3 linked regions of the Arabidopsis thaliana genome follow. The protein of the gene in region 3 interacts with the protein of the main gene of each other region in a pairwise test. Each region holds a gene or a part of one and is shown on either strand. Other genes may lie near its edges. The genes, in order: SPCH, MKK4 and RACK1B_AT.

Evidence for each region.
Region 1: the proteins of RACK1B_AT (region 3) and SPCH interact in binary tests that used the Arabidopsis thaliana proteins (3 or more experiments, as listed by UniProt).
Region 2: the proteins of RACK1B_AT (region 3) and MKK4 come close enough for resonance energy transfer, tested with the Arabidopsis thaliana proteins (one study listed by BioGRID).

Annotation. Positions count from the first base shown.
Region 1 is NC_003076.8:21,585,219-21,591,849, reverse strand, and holds SPCH (basic helix-loop-helix (bHLH) DNA-binding superfamily protein), read left to right. Parts: upstream 1-2,594; 5' UTR 2,595-2,908; coding exon 2,909-3,307; intron 3,308-3,620; coding exon 3,621-4,250; coding exon of another isoform or gene 4,251-4,277; exon of another isoform or gene 4,278-4,632; intron 4,633-5,178; coding exon 5,179-5,244; 3' UTR 5,245-5,631; downstream 5,632-6,631. UniProt on the Arabidopsis thaliana protein: Transcription factor acting as an integration node for stomata and brassinosteroid (BR) signaling pathways to control stomatal initiation and development. Activates transcription when in the presence of SCRM/ICE1.
Region 2 is NC_003070.9:19,152,197-19,157,718, forward strand, and holds MKK4 (mitogen-activated protein kinase kinase 4), read left to right. Parts: upstream 1-2,126; 5' UTR 2,127-2,378; coding exon 2,379-3,479; 3' UTR 3,480-4,142; downstream 4,143-5,522. Other genes in the region: AT1G51650 (ATP synthase epsilon chain), read left to right, coding at 484-667, 1,417-1,445; AT1G51670 (uncharacterized protein), read left to right, coding at 4,946-5,033.
Region 3 is NC_003070.9:17,980,566-17,985,815, forward strand, and holds RACK1B_AT (receptor for activated C kinase 1B), read right to left. Parts: upstream 2,813-5,250; 5' UTR 2,704-2,812; coding exon 1,825-2,703; intron 1,514-1,824; coding exon 1,412-1,513; 3' UTR 1,071-1,411; downstream 1-1,070. Other genes in the region: PEX3 (peroxin 3), read left to right, coding at 3,386-3,399, 3,580-3,741, 3,832-4,022, 4,096-4,226, 4,334-4,404, 4,509-4,545, 4,611-4,738, 4,826-5,041 and 1 more.

The sequences.
Region 1 (6,631 bases), on a different chromosome or scaffold from region 3:
GAAAAAACAACTATGAATCAAAATAGAAGGAAGTACTATAAATTGTGTGATCCAAAAATCGAGTGCGAGTAATTTTGGAAGCCATATTGAGATCTACACAGGATTTAAATCTTAGGAACCGAGCTTGAGTTGGTGCTACGTTTAAAAAGAGATTCATCTGTCAAAAGCATGTCGTGGTCTCACGATAATCGGATATATGTACATCAGTACATGCTAATAGTTCATAACTTCACCACCGTGACCATCTAGAATCCCCAACTAAAATATCCAACTATAATTTAAAAATAAATTTGAAAGTATATCCTATAAACGTTTTACAAAACCAAAACCGAAACAAGATCATCACTGCGATAAGGAGATGTTGTGTATATATATGCTTATACTCCATCATACATGCATCCATGATTTCACATACATATACATGATGCATGTGGATGAATGAAGAATTGTAGAATCTCGGGCACGGAGAAGGCGTGTCCGGTCATTGAAAGCCGCCCACCATCTTTATTATATTTGTTTCCGAAGTACTGATCTTTCTGCTCAACTTGCAGATTTTGATTTCTGCGCAACTTGCAACTTTCTCATTCTCAGTTTTTTTCTCTGAATAATTGCTTCAAAAGTCAATTATTATTGTTATTATAAAAAGGCAATAAATTTCAGAGTAGTCATATATTCATTCTTTTAGTCTGTCGAGTTTTTGTTTGTTTGTTTTTGATTAGTAATCATCGGAACCAACTCATGACACGACTTCTTAATCGAGACTGCAGGAAGAATATAATCAACGTTTTGTTATGTCATATAAATAAAATGAATTTATGTCAATCTCTTTTTTGTTGTTGTAGTAATGTAACGGGCAACAGTGTTATAGAAATGTAGATTTTGATTTGCGAAATAAATAGAGCAAGACAAAACTGTACGAAAATTGAAAACATGTCATAGTCTCCATAAAAGGGTATCTATATATCCGTATATATATGAAATTGAATAATACCTTGGATCCGAGTCATATCAAATTAATATCCTGCATGCATGAATAATTAAACTTTAGTTACATTACTATGTCCGCTAAATCAAAATCACTGACAAATATCTTGTTTATTTTGTACAGTGTAATAAGTTTGTCCGGGTTGGTTAAAATCGAAAATTGAATTGGGATTCTTAAAATCTATTTTGTTTTAAGATCAGTTTGGTGTTTGACAAAAAAGAAGAAGATCAGTTTGGAATGTGTCACATAAGAACATGTAATTAAAAGTAATTTTCATCATTATATAAGCATTGCATTAAGAAAAACATAGTTTTTTCTAATTGCTGATGTTTCATTAATTTGGGCTAGAAACAAAGCATAAAGGAGAAGAGACCCGTTACTAAAAAGACATGGTCAGGTAAATAATATCTGACAGCCAACTCATTAACTTCAAACCTAACGACTACCTGGTTTGTCTTGGCTCCATCTTCTTAAATTTTCGTTTATTTTCTAAAACATTTGAATGGATTATCAAAAAAGAAAATGTCAAGCAATATTTATATTTATGTACAAATATTTCAAAAACTTTTGAAAGGGAAAGTTCAAATGAAGGGTGGCTCCTCAAGATGCAATTTGATTTTGATGAGACAAAATGAGGCACGTCTAGTATGACATCAACTATTTATTGCCTTAGATCTATCCCTTGTCTTTTGTTTTCTTGAAAACAAATTCGTTTGCTCCCTGTATCAATATAAAGATTAACTTACAAAAGAGGTGATATATATATATATATATACACATTATATCCCATCTTATTAATAATGCTTACTAATATTGCTAAATTCATATTCTATTTTGGGTTGGTTTTATAAGAAATTGAATTCTTATGCCATCTCATCAGGTGTTTATGAAATATGTTAGGGATCCAGTTGAACTGAACTAACATTACTAAATTGAATTAATTAAATTGTATGTATGGCTCGGGAAAGAAGAAGGAACGGATTTTCTTTCAGAATTGTGGAATCGAATTTTGTTCTTCTTTTTGGGCTTAAATGTTGGTTAGATTACACCATGACATAAACAAAGGCCAAAGTATATGCTTTAAGTGAAAATCTGTATTTTTAAATCGACTGGCGATAACATGTCTGAAATTGGTCTATCAATCATAAAAAGTCTCTAAATATGTATCTTTTTATTTTTTGAATAATGAATGATCTATAATGTGAATGTACAACACATCATTCAATTGATTGTCTCACGATTGAGGCGCTAAAATAAATGTGAACTCACTAATTTCAAATGTTTTTTTTTTGTTTGTTTTTTTGTATATATATATACTTGGAAACCGGGATTGGTCGGACCATATTCGCAACCCGAACATATACGTAAATTAAATACAAAGAACGTACATGTCCGTGTTTATGTGTATTACATGTTTGTGTGTACAAAAAACAATTATACCGAGCTTGTGATTATTCAAAATTTTACCCCCATAAAAATCTTTTCCTAAGGAATTTATGTATCTTTCCCTTTGCAATATGCAACCTTTATCTCTGTAATATAAAGTATACAATAAGACGTACCATATATATATATGTAGATGCATATTTATATCTAAAACATAAATGAGACACGAAAAACCTAGATCCTCCCCCAAATTTCATCCAACGGCACAAACCGCATAATAAATAACCCTATCAAAATATAATAATAAAAATTGAAATTTGATAGCGATAGTTTAGTCCTCGATGAATGCGAGTCCCTCATATTTACTCCTTTTGGCATTCACTCTCTTTATTTCTCTTTCTCAACTTGATATGTCTTTTGGCGTCTCTTTCTTTCCCTAAATCTTTCTTTTATTTTGCTGTTTAAAAAAAAAATCCAACCATAAGACAAAACAACGAACGAGGAAGAGAGAGAGAGAAGGATATATCTCTAATCACGATGCAGGAGATAATACCGGATTTTCTTGAAGAGTGTGAATTTGTCGACACTTCACTAGCCGGAGATGATCTATTTGCCATCTTAGAGAGTCTTGAAGGTGCCGGAGAGATATCTCCGACAGCTGCATCTACACCTAAAGATGGAACCACAAGTTCCAAGGAGTTAGTTAAGGATCAAGATTATGAAAACTCATCTCCTAAGAGGAAAAAGCAAAGACTAGAAACCAGGAAAGAAGAGGACGAAGAAGAAGAAGACGGAGACGGAGAAGCAGAAGAAGATAATAAGCAAGATGGGCAACAAAAGATGTCTCATGTAACCGTGGAACGTAACCGGAGAAAGCAAATGAACGAGCACTTAACCGTTTTGCGTTCTCTTATGCCTTGTTTCTACGTCAAACGGGTATATTCAATACATCCATAGATTTTACTAGTCAGTATGTGAGTTTCTGGTAGTGCCCGACTAATTAATACTATTCGTTCAACTAATCTTTTTGGTATACCTAACTATCATATTCATATATCATTTCTTAGTAACATCAAAAGTATCATGCATATCTATGTTTTTTTAGGAATAATGACAATTATAATGACATTTTGGTCCCACTAATCATCTCTTTTTCTTTTCTTTCTTTCATGTCACAATGAGATATATAGAATGTTCATATTGACTTATATTTTCTTTATTTCCTCTTAAACCAACCTATTAAAAAAAGGGGGACCAAGCATCGATCATAGGAGGAGTTGTGGAGTACATAAGCGAGTTACAACAAGTTCTCCAATCTTTGGAAGCCAAGAAACAACGTAAAACCTACGCCGAAGTCCTAAGCCCGAGAGTTGTCCCGAGCCCTCGTCCTTCACCGCCTGTTCTAAGCCCAAGAAAACCGCCTCTTAGCCCGCGCATCAACCACCACCAGATTCACCACCACCTACTTCTCCCTCCCATAAGTCCTCGAACACCTCAGCCAACAAGCCCATACCGGGCCATTCCACCGCAACTACCACTCATCCCACAGCCTCCGCTTCGCTCTTACAGCTCATTGGCCAGTTGCAGCAGCTTAGGAGATCCACCTCCATACTCTCCTGCTTCATCTTCTTCATCTCCTTCAGTTAGTAGTAACCATGAGAGTAGTGTGATCAATGAGCTTGTTGCTAACTCAAAATCGGCTTTGGCTGATGTGGAAGTGAAGTTTTCAGGAGCTAACGTGCTGCTCAAAACGGTGTCGCATAAGATCCCGGGACAAGTTATGAAGATAATTGCTGCTCTTGAAGATTTGGCTCTTGAGATTCTTCAGGTTAATATTAACACCGTCGACGAAACCATGCTTAATTCTTTCACCATCAAGGTACGTACGAATAATCATCCTAATTAATTTTCACTGACTTGTTTTTTTTGTCTCTATTCATAAGTGTAATTCATACATTTATTTTCTTACATAGGATATATGGTGGGGGAAGAAATGGGTAGGGTAGTGTAATAAGTAATAATTCATTGAGATTCACATAAACTCATACACACTTTCGATATATATGAAATTTAATGTATGATTCTAATCTACATTATATATATATAGATAGATATATATATCATTATATAAAACGTAGGGTATGTGTATGTCAGATTCCTCACAAACATACAAAACTAAACTGTTCGTTGTTTTATACTACTTTTACTAAAACTCTTCTCTAATTTATACATTTGACTTTCTTAAAAAAAACGGTGTGAAAGAACACGTGTTTAAATATTATATAAATTATACGTGAACATTGAAGAGCCCCCAAAATCTTCAATTTTAAATTCGAAAGGAATTATTCTATATATTTGGAAATTATTCAAATAGATCAAGCTGCTGAAGTTTATAAGTGTCAAGACTTAGTTTCTATTTTTGATAAGTACTTAAATTTGTTCAATGAAGAATTTCTACAATGGATGTTTTAGTATTGATGATTTGATTATCGAAAAAAACAAGATCAGAGATCAAGTAGGGATACTATTAACTATGTCTCGCAAGTATAGATATTTGGTAATTAAGTTCCTTAGAATAGGTGATTATGTTGAGACGAGAACAGATCTTTTTTTTTTTTAATAATAGTTAAATTTGTTTCTTTTTCGTTGGGAGTTTAGTGCCTCGAGAAATATAGAGCTACTCAGAATGAAATTAATTGAAAACACTTATTTTTGTATAAATTATATTTTTTTTCATATCATCTTTTTTTTTTTTGTTAAAGAACAATTATCAATGTATACTTCTCTATCTTTTTTTCTTTTGATAGATTGGAATTGAGTGCCAACTAAGTGCAGAAGAACTGGCTCAACAAATTCAGCAAACATTCTGCTAGTAAAGAAGGATTTAATATAGCTTCGTATAAACCTTAACGAGAGAGCAGTACGTACTCACTTTCTCTCCTTAGTATCCCTTTAATTATCTTTTCAGTTTTCTGCAAAGATATGGAGTTTAAAAAAATAAAATTGTTATCTAAAGTTTTAATCAAATATTGATTAATTATAACTAATATAGGTATAAGTGAGTTTTAAAGATTATCAGCTTCATAACAGCCATCGTCATGTTTACTTTCTTTTAAATTTTAGAATTTAGACGTACTCCTACCATGTAATTTTATTTCTGTCATTACATCAAGCATTGTAGCTGTAATTGCATATGAATGAACAATAGTGTATGAGTGATCTCATGAATAATATTCTTCTTGCAACACAAAATGTTAAGGGATATATTTTTTTGTAAATAGAAAGAATGATTCTACATGCCGCAGCAAATGTTCTGAAAATCAAAAGAGTGGATGTTAAAAAAAAAAAAAAACTAAAATGATTGTACCTTTTATAAACTCTTAAAAGATGTTCTTTTTGGGTGAAAGTATGGATTATTTTGTCTCAAAAAAAGAATTATGTAAATATATACACATTTATATTGTATATATATATATATTTGTGTAAGAACTAATTTAAATGTCTCGTTTCACATTTTATCAGTAGAATCATATTTTACATCATGTTTGGGATGTGAGAAAATGTTTAATTGTTGTTATGCAACTATGCAAGGCAAGTCTGTGCACAAACTAATTTGGAATATGCAACTTAAACCACAATAAATTCGGATTTTACACAAACTAAGCTTATAATAAAATTATAGCCATGCTCATATTTTTTTGTAGATGTTGCATCCAATCTCAACATTTAGATGCAACATCGAATCATCCATGTTCAACATCAACATATTGTTGGGTTTAAAACTTTTGACTGTGAAACTTCGTGTGGCTGGTTTAGAGATCAACCAAACCCCAAAACTGATGGTGGTGAATATCCCTAGCTATTCAAATTGTAGTTTGTAGATATCCGATTTTTTTTTTTTTTCCGTCACTTTGTAGATATCCGAATTATCAATACATTCTCTGAAATGGATAGTCCTAACGCAGTGTATCCACTACTGGTGAACTTACAACTGGGCTGTAAAAACTGAAATTGGGCATTTTTTATCGGCCCATAGTTTTACCTTTACTTGTATTGGTCGAGTGACGTTGATAATCTGTCGTACCTTGTTAAATAATGGGCTAAAATAATTGGGACACTATTGGGCCTAAAAGCTTTAACTAAGATTGTGATTTGTGAGTTTATGTGAAACGACATATAGCTGAAGAATTGAATCGTTTGGTTCGTAATCATGAAAATCATATAATGGAAAATTCTATCCGTTAAATCCTGTCCATGAAA
Region 2 (5,522 bases), 1.2 Mb from region 3:
ACAAAACAAAGAAAAGCAGACATTTACACGAAATTATGCAGACATATACACGAAATTCAATCTACCTGAAAATGAGAATAAGTTTTGAGTAAATTTCGTGGAGACTCCTGGAAATAAGTTTGTTTGTTTTCCTATTTTTATGTAACTTCGCTTAAATTTCTAATTGCCTAATCAAGGTATTAAAATAGCAAAGCTTGGTTTGGCTCAGTCTTCGCGTAAACTCCAAGAAACAATCATAAAAACAAATAAAAAAGACAAGAAACCAAAAAAAAAAAAAAAGTTGAGAGATTTCAGTAGATGAAAGTTGGATAGAAGATTCGTGTAGTTAGCTACTTAATGGGCCGTTAAAATATTTAATAAGGCCCATTGGGTCTAAACTGTGTTAGGATTACTAGGGCACAGAATCGGTCTCTGTCCCATTTCGCGAACTTTCTCCTTAGAATCGGAACGGACGAAGAAGGAAGACAAGGAAGAAGATCGGAGATGGCATCGAATGCGGCGGTTCCGTTCTGGAGAGCGGCGGGGATGACATATATATCGTATTCAAACATCTGTGCGAATATCGTGAGGAACTGTCTCAAGGAGCCACACAAAGCTGAAGCTCTTACTCGCGAGAAGGTTCACTTCTCTCTCTCCAAATGGGCTGATGGAAAGCCCCAGAAACCTGGTAAGCCTTTTCGATCCTTTAATCGTCGATGTTGGATCTTAGATCTGGATTCTTCACGTTCTTGTGTTCTCGATTCCTGATTTGTTTTTGAGTAATTTGTTGGAATAATCTGATTTCCTAAAAGTTATCGGAATTAAGTGGAAAGTGAATCATCTGCTTCTGGATTTGATCTTCGATTTTGCATTTAACCTTTCCTCTGCTTCTGGATTTGATCAGTTCAATACTATCTTCATACAATGTTGTTATGTCCAAATTGTTGAATTTTTCATTTAGAGTTAGCTTCAGAGAAAACAACAAAACTAGTAGTATGTGTGAAACAAGAACATGAAGAAGATGGAAAGCTGATTGGGAACATTGCATTTAGATGTCTTTTCTCGTTTATGTTTGGATCTGAATTCTTCATGTTCTTGTTGTGTGTCATTGAAATTGTTGGAATACGTAGATATCAGAGTAGGTCATTTTGGGAAAGCTATTGAATTTAAGAGGAAGATGAATCATTTTAACAAGCTCCATCGATTTTGCGCTTAATCTGTCTCTCTTCTGCTTCTGGATTTGATTAATTTCATTCTATTTTGTTTTCTCATAAGTTGTTGTTATGTTCAAATTGTTGAATTTGGAATGATTTCATTTCTCAAATAGGGTTTACTGAGACAATGATTCCAGATTTAGTCTATCTGAAAATGGTTCAGCTTTCTTCTTGTTGATCCATTTGTCTAACATTCTCTCATGTTTTTGTTTTTCCTTGACAGTTTTGCGGTCAGACACACCTGAAGTTTGAAGTCAACTTTGAGCTTATGTTCTTAAGGGATTCAAAAGTAACTGAGTTACCAAGATTTGTTTTCTTTTTATTGTCAACAATGGAGCTTGAGTGAAAAACTCATTTCCGATCATAATAATGACACACTGAGTCTTGTGTATCTCTTTTCTTCTTTTGCTATTCTGTTTCACTTTTTGTATGCGAACAATGAAAAAAAGCCTTTAAAGACTCTTCTGGCTAAAGACAAGTTCTTTTGATTGTTACAGAACAGTGAGAATAGCATAAAACTAAGCACATACGTGGAGAATCAATACACTGTCAGAAGTTGAGAGAAGACCATACTTAATATTAAACATGAGAATATACAAACTGATTTTCTGAATCATGTATTTTGAATCGCAGTACGCATATTTGCAGGTTAGACCATCTCCAATGTCACTTTTACGCGTTTGTTTGATTTAAATTCGATTTCCTCTTCTTGGTTTATATCACAAAACCAACAAAACGACACCGCGTAAAGTCTGAAAAAAACTTAACAGAGCCAGAAGTGCCCAGTGAACCAACCACACAAAGTCACAAATGGTTTCCGTGCTTGAAAGTGATCCTCACGCGCTTTACACATCGCGTAGATACCTTTTTCTCGATTTTAACAATTTTGCTATTTATTTCCTTTTAATTAATTTTCTCAAAATAAAAATTAACGTTCCCTTTTCAGTGTCCTTTCAATTTCTTTCGACGAAACTTCATTTCTCAATTTCTTTTGATTTTGATCGCTTCGAAGAACGAATCAATTTAAGCCTGCCACAAACAAACCCTAGAATACGACAACGCACGACGACGAAGAAGTCGAAGAAGACTACTACTATAAACGACGAAGATCATTACTTCAATCTTCAATCGAGCTTTTAAATTTTCAGATCGTAGAAGAAAATCGAACTTTTGATTCCAAAAGCGATGAGACCGATTCAATCGCCTCCAGGAGTTTCCGTTCCGGTGAAAAGCCGTCCCCGTCGCCGTCCTGATCTTACCTTACCGCTTCCTCAACGCGATGTTTCTCTCGCTGTACCTCTTCCTCTCCCACCTACTTCCGGTGGTTCCGGTGGCTCTAGTGGATCTGCGCCGTCTTCTGGTGGTTCGGCGTCTTCAACGAACACTAACAGCTCCATAGAAGCGAAGAACTATTCGGATTTAGTGAGAGGTAACCGTATCGGAAGCGGAGCAGGTGGAACGGTATACAAAGTGATTCACCGTCCGAGTTCTCGTCTATATGCACTTAAGGTGATATACGGTAACCACGAGGAGACTGTGAGACGTCAGATCTGTAGAGAGATCGAGATTTTACGAGATGTGAATCATCCAAACGTTGTGAAATGTCACGAGATGTTTGATCAGAACGGTGAGATCCAGGTTTTGCTTGAGTTTATGGATAAAGGTTCTTTAGAAGGTGCTCATGTGTGGAAAGAGCAACAATTAGCTGATCTATCTCGTCAGATTCTTAGTGGTTTAGCTTATCTCCATAGCCGTCACATAGTTCATCGTGATATCAAACCATCGAATCTTTTGATAAACTCTGCTAAAAACGTTAAGATTGCTGATTTTGGAGTTAGTAGGATCTTGGCTCAGACTATGGATCCGTGTAATTCATCTGTTGGAACCATTGCTTATATGAGTCCTGAGAGGATTAACACTGATTTGAATCAGGGAAAGTATGATGGTTATGCTGGAGATATTTGGAGCTTAGGTGTTAGCATTTTGGAGTTTTACTTGGGGAGGTTTCCTTTCCCTGTGAGTAGACAAGGTGATTGGGCTAGTCTTATGTGTGCCATTTGTATGTCTCAGCCTCCAGAAGCTCCAGCGACTGCGTCGCCGGAGTTTCGGCATTTTATCTCGTGTTGCTTGCAGAGAGAACCGGGGAAAAGGAGGAGTGCTATGCAGCTATTGCAGCATCCTTTCATATTAAGAGCAAGTCCGAGCCAGAACAGGTCTCCTCAGAATCTACATCAACTCTTGCCTCCTCCTCGTCCTCTGTCCTCGTCTTCTTCTCCAACCACATAGCGTTTTCTCTCTTCTTCCCTTCATCAACTCATATTTTTTGTGTTACTACTGTTCTTGAGTCTGTTGTCCAATTTTTTGCTAATCATGGAGGGTCTCTGAATTTTACATTTATTAGGGAGTAAAAAACTCGAGAGAGGGTTTTTGGGATTATTGTTTTCTAGAAAGGTAAAAGAGAACAATGATAATATTCTTATGCTTATGATGGTGCATGTATCCCCAATGTAGCTTTGTTGAATTTTCATAAAAGTTTTTGCCTTGGTTTTTCTTTTGTCATTTATGCTCGTCAATTTTGCATCTTGAAGACGAAAAGGACCGTTTCGTTTCCATTCTCGGTGTTTAGTTTTGTCATTGATAAAATGTCTCCTTGTAAAGCTTATTACCATCATGAAAAAGCAAAATATACGGATCGTAGAATCGTTTCTCAAACCTAATCAGGTTGATGTCCCAGTTTAGAACATCCTTGGAAGAGTTTAAGACAATTCCTCAATCCGAGAGAGCAAAACGACTGTGTTTAGCAAAGTGGGTCTAATTGAAGAAAAGAGGAACTTGGGCCAGCTAAAGATAAAGCCCAATGTTGAAAAGACGTCGTCTAAGGCACAACAACGGTCAAACGGTCATCTCCAAAGTTGGAAAACGACAAGAAACAAAAACACAGAGCAGTGGTGATGAATTGAAAGCTTGTACGGAGAAAGTAGCGATTCTCGCAGCCATTGATACGATTTGATGACAGAGGATGGTGACATCTGTCCTATCTCTAGGGTTTTTCGAGTCACCCATACTCTTGTCTATAAATACTAAATCCTTTAGGTTCCTTTGGTTGCTTCCTCTGCTTGTGAGTTTTTCTTTGTAAGTGCAATCAGTGTTACTCTTTAGAGTTTTTTTCTAAGTTGTTGAGATTTTTGTAGCTTGCTTTGGTTTGTCACAATTTTTGCTTATGCATTTGCCTTTGTAGGAGCTTTTAGTTACGTTTTAGGGTTTTTTTTTTTTGTTACGGATTTTGCTTGCTTGTGCATTTCCTTTTTCAGTGTGATTAGTGAGTAGTTACGTTTTAGCGTTTGATCCTTCTTTATTTTTGTCATTCTTTGGTAAAGAAGCATCACACTGGCTCGATTTAACCACAAACTCCTTCCTCTGTTTTTTGTCATTGATAAAAATGTCATCTTTTTACTATTTCAGTGTGATTAGTGAACAATGAGGAGCTTTTGGTTAGGTTGTTAGCGTTTAAACTTCATTTAGTTTGGTCACATTGCTTCGATTTAGCCACATACTCATCGATCTGTTTTTTTGTCATTGATAAAAATGTTTCTTTTTGCTATAACTTCGATCCTATTAGGAAGCAAAGGTCCCTCTTGCTTTTCCTTTCTTTCGTGAAAAATCGCTTCACTTTAATTCCCTTGTTAATGTTCTTTGCATTTATTATTCACATCCATTAATGTAGTTTTATTGAAAACTTTGCAAATTTTCAGATGGCACTCCCTCCCTATGATCCGAATTTCACATTGGCTTTTTCATACGGTAGACGCGATAATGTCTTTGAGAATGACCCAGAGCACGGTAAGAACTTGTTACTGTATAGAATTTACTCATAAAAGTATCTCACTTCTTGGTTTTAAAACAGATTTTGATCTAATCCCTAGGAATGGTGAATTGTGGCTGTAGAATTAGGATGTTGTGTTGATTCATTGCTTTAGTTTTAGCCTGGATTTAGTGCAGGACAAAATTTACCCATTATGTTGAGTTATCACAGTTCTGGTCATGTGCTTAATTACACCAATGTCTTAAGTTTTGTTGTTGTTGGCTCTGATAACTTGTTTGCCAAGATAGGTTTTAGATTCTCTCAGATATTGATAGCATGTGTGTTGTCTTTGTACGTTTTTTCATGATTTCAGAGATTCTCTTTTATGTTAACAGTGAGATTTAAGTCATTTGACCAATCAATCAGCCAAATTTTGTGGCTGTAGAATTAGGATGTTGTGTTGAATCCACTGCTTTTGTCACATTGCTTTAGTTATAGCCTGGATTATGTTAGTATATCACAGTTGA
Region 3 (5,250 bases):
CATCGGGTTTAATGACAATCGCAAAACAATCAACATCATTGGCGAGGCGGGGTACTTTAGAGAATTGGATCTTGGAGAACATGCAGAACCATATCGTAGGCGACATGTTTTCTCTTATGTTCCAAGTTCGGTCCAAATCAAGGAAACTGCACCAGGGAACATAAAAAAACATCAAAGCAGTATAGAAACACGTCTATTTGATCGAAACATGTTGAGACTTGTCGCATTTGAGAAGAAAGTATCCGAGTAACCAATATGAGGTAGATTAGCCTAATTTGTTAACAAAACAGAATATAATAAAGTCTATATTTCTTTTTCTCAAATTTGCAAAGCCTAAATTAGTGCAAAAGGTTGTATTATATCATCTAATGACGATAGAAATAGTTTTGCTGCGGTTTCTCTAAATCATGCAGAGCTAAACGATCTATAGTTTTAGTAGTTTGATGTTCCATTCTTGATCAACCTTAGCTTATTTGGACTACAAAAAAAAGCATGATATAAAATGGACATGTTGTCGAAGCCTACGGAGCCTAATTAAGATCTTGTTATATACGTGGACTTGGGTATTGGGTGTAGAATATCTAAAAGATAAGAAATATGAAAAATTTTACAGAGCAATTAAGCATTGCTTTGTTGAGCGGCTTATGATGCTGAAACATGTCATAGGGGGTCTTGGTTTCTTCGGAAAAGCAGTGAAAACAATCTTGATTGCACTTTTGATTATTGACTATTGACTCGTGCATGGTTTACCTCATTTGGTGTTTTTGAGCATGAAGAAGTTCTCAAGTTTCAACCTTTGGCTACACACAAAATTAATGCTAATAAGACCCATTTATCAGAGACTCTGTGCCGTATGGAGGTAAGCGTCTGGGTCAAGAACTATTCTATATGGGCTATATTCGGTTCATGTTAACTGAGAATTCGTATAACATATGGCCTTGTCGCCTACACTTTAGACTACTCTTAGTTTTGGTAGAGTAAGAGATGGAAAACCAAATATCATTAAGTACAAAAAGATAAACTGGTTGGTGCATTGGTGTTTAGAGATTCTTTTGAAAGGGTTCGTGTTGTAGTTAAGATGTAACCACTGGAAAAGTAAAGGCTAATAACTCCTTGAAGTTTTCAGATTCCTAAGAAAAAATTCTTGCTGTTATACAGTTAGTCATCAACCTAAAGCCATTTCTACTTTCTAGAGGATACAAGTAACAACTTCAAATCAGATTCTACGCCGTGTACTCAGACTCAGTGTAAGAAAACAAATATGAAACAAAATCAATGTATCAAAATATCACATTTGTGGATTCTGAAAATAGAAAAGAACAAAAAATAAATCCTCAAAACACTAATTCAGAAGAGAAGACTTTAGAGTCGATGGAAAAATTTGGAGAGAATAAAGAAACTTCTTGTCTCTCTAGTAACGACCAATACCCCAAACCCTGATAACTCCATCAGTGTATCCACTGAACAAAGTGTTTCCATCTGCACTCCAGTTCAAGCTTGTGCAGTAGATCACCTGCATTTTACATTCCACATTAGAACATATATAAACCACCTCAGACCAAAGAGTAACCAACAAATCAATATGGAATCACTTCAGACACTACAATCTAAGAAATCAGAGACTAGAGCTAACTTAAAACCAGGTTTCTCAATCTAATGTTAGCTACTCTCTTACGTACCAATCAAATCTTGTGAACTAACTTCACATGAGAGTATTCAGACCTTCCTTTATGAAAATCTCATCTTTTAAGGCAACGGCTAACTAATTCACAGAACTTAGAACTAGACAATTAACCATAAGATAGAGTGAGGAGAAATAGATACCTTGGTCTTGTTTCCGATTCCAGTAGAACCATCAGTCTTTTCAGCCTCAGCCTTAAGATCAACCTTCAAATCCTCAACAACAGACTTACTCTCGAGATCCCAAATCCTAATGCTATTCTCTGTTGCTGCACACAACCAGTACCTATTGGGACTGAAGCAAAGTGAATGAATAATAGAGCCAGCTTCAAGAGAATACAACTTCTTCCCTTCAGCCAAATCCCAAAGCAAGATCACACCATCTTTGCCACCACTGGCACACAACGAACCATCAGGTGACACAGCCACAGTGTTCAAGTAACCAGAGTGACCAGCAAGAGTGTTCCTAAGCTTACAATTCTGAAGATTCCAGACCTTCACAGTTTTATCCCAAGAAGCAGATACAATAGTTGGCACAAGAGTATTAGGACTAAACCTAACACAACTAACCCATTCCTTGTGACCATCAGCTTCAGAGATGGTATACTTACACTCACCAAGCGTGTTCCAAAGCTTAATCGTACGATCACGAGAAGCAGAGACGATCTGACGGTTATCGGTAGAGAAAGCAACAGAGAGAACATCTTTCGTGTGACCAACGAAACGACGAGTAGATTCTCCGGTAGCGAGATCCCAGAGACGAAGCTCACCGTCCCAAGATCCGGAGAGAGCGAATTGTCCATCGGAGGAGAGAACAACGTCTTGAACGAAGTGAGAGTGACCAGTCATCCTCCGCTGAGCAACACCGTATGACTTGTCTTCCTTTGTGAGTTTCCAGAGGATGATTGATTTGTCACGCGACGAAGTTACAATCACGTCGGAGTTATCGACCGGTGTAGCAATGGCGGTGACCATATCAGTGTGGGCACACATTGTGCCTTTCAACACGAGTCCTTCAGCCATGGTTCAGGGTTTGAGGTCGAGATTTAGGGTTTCGGCGACAAAAATGGGAGAGGGCAAAATGGAGGTAACGAGAAACCGAGAGTATTTATAGTTAGAGATAATTAGGGTTCTTTGTTTTCATTTGTCAATAGTTTGGGTCTCTTCATTTGGGCCAGCATTAAGGCCCGGTATTCTACCCAACTTGGTTTCATGTTGGGACAATTATGGAACCGAGATTTATATCTTTCTGTTTGGAACGCTTAACCAGAATTGGTATAGCTTGTTACAAGTCAATTTGATAACCACATGAGTACATGACATGACAACTTTTTTTTCTCTCTTTTGGGCAAACCCCATGAGAACTCTACCGAGAAGTTATTGTCAAAAATTGAAATAGACTCAAAAGTCGGTTCAATTAAAGTAAACAAACCGAGTTTGGCCATTTCAACTTTTATTGTAAGAACTAAGAACACAACTTCGACTGTCCCTGTGGAAGATATAATTTTACATGTCCGAATTCCGGAGAAGAAAAAGATGAAGTGATTGATTAAATTGAAATCGATCACATCAACCATCTCTTTCTCTCGCCTGCAAAGTTATCTCCTTTTCAAACCGAACGAATCAATTCGGGAATCTTCATCTTTCTACGTGTTTTCTCAGCTATGTATCTCTGGGTTCGACTTCAGTAAAAGCTTCACCAGCCATGGATTTCGTTAGGTTCTTGTTCGCTTCATCTTTCTTTGTAATTGCTTACTGTTTTCGTGAAAATTCGAAATTTAGTGTTTTGCGTTCTCTATCTCTCTCTCTCTAGCACACTAATTCCAATTCCTTAGGAAGGGTTTTTGGTGAATAAAGTTAGGGTTTTTAATTGATTCAATACCTTGTGGAATAAATTAGGGGTTTTTGGAGGAAGCATAGAAGGAAGGTCTTGGTGACGGCTGGTTGTTTGGGAAGTGGGTATTTACTCTACAAACTATACAATTCCCATACTCGTAGGCTTGCTGATTTGGAACGAGAACTCGCTCACGAGCGTGAAAATGACGAAATCATCAAAACCCAGTTAAGTTCTGTGCTCATAAAAACTGATCCTTTAGACTTCAGTTCTTATGGATTCTCTAACGGACCTGTCTTGTTTGTACTCTTGTTTAGAATGAAAGCACATTTCGAGAGTATTCAGATGATTGTGGATTCGACCACACTGCCTCACGCAATGCAGTTTTTGAGTATCCGTATCAGCGAGGAGATCGATGTCTCTCATGTTATGGACAGACTGAACCAAGGGAAAGGAATGCTGAGTCCACCTGAGAAACTTCAGCTCTGGGATGAGCTCAAGATTTTGAGTATGCACTGCAGTCACCTACTCTTACTCTATCAAATTCTGTTTCTTACCTGTATATTCATGTTATTTGCCAGGTTTCACGAGGATGGTTTTGTCTCTGTGGTCTGTGACAATGCTTAGCTTATACATTAGGGTTCAAGTCAACATTTTAGGCAGACATTTGTATGTTGACACCGCTCGAGCTCTTGGCAGCTCTCATTTACTTGTAAGATAATATGCTTCCCCTCTTCTCTGTATTGGAGAATTTGCTGTTTATTAAACGATACTGCACATGTTCTTTACTGCTCTCATTTGCTCGCAAGTATGATTCAGTGTACTTTGCTTATCTCATCCCCAACAAGCTATTTCTCGGGGAAACTCACTGGTTGTTCTGTTAAGAACTTGTATAATTATGTCTCTAGTAGCTGTGTTTAATTGCGATAACGATTATGCATTTGACCTATCTGTGGACTAATACTCTGGAATCACCTATCTTTCTTTGATATAGTTCCAGATTACCTTTTAAAGCCACGGCCGCTTGTCCTGTGATCTGCTTGCCCTGTGAGCTTTCAACAGTGTATCTATTAAATTTGTTTCTTTTTGTTTGCAGGAAGAGGTAGATCTCATTGATAGAGATGATGAACAGAAGTTTTTGTCGAGTGCTGATTTTCTTGTCACCAATGCAATGCCAAGTTTGATTTCAGATATGCAGGGTTCAGCCGAGGAAGTCCTTAAAGGGTACATTGCAAAAATTCGTATCTAGATCGTTTATAATTTGACTATTGTTGGAAAAACTCTAATATGTTTTTGTGTGTTTAATTGCAGAAAGCAGTTAAAGGATGTAATTACCACAAGAGTTCTTCAAGAAACCGTGATGCAGATTGTAGATGTGTTTATGAGCACTGGAAGCCCACATCACTGGGTTGATTATTTAATGATGCCTCAAGACACAAAGCTTTCAAGAACCACAAGTGACTCTTCTGATGAAGCTGTGTCCAAGTTTCATCAACTCATGGTTGAGACTCGAGAAGTACTCATCAGGTAAGTAATGTCTATCTGCTAAGATAAACACACAATTTTTCCTCTTTCTTACACTCTTGGATGATTGTGGGGAATAAACTTATCTCTTGGTGTCTTTCTTGTTGCAGCACTGAATTCACAAATATAGTCGAAATTTCGCTCAAGTGCTTCACGGATGTGTTGGTAGAGGAAATGGAAACGCAGACTGAAGCAGGCGGTTTGGCTACAGG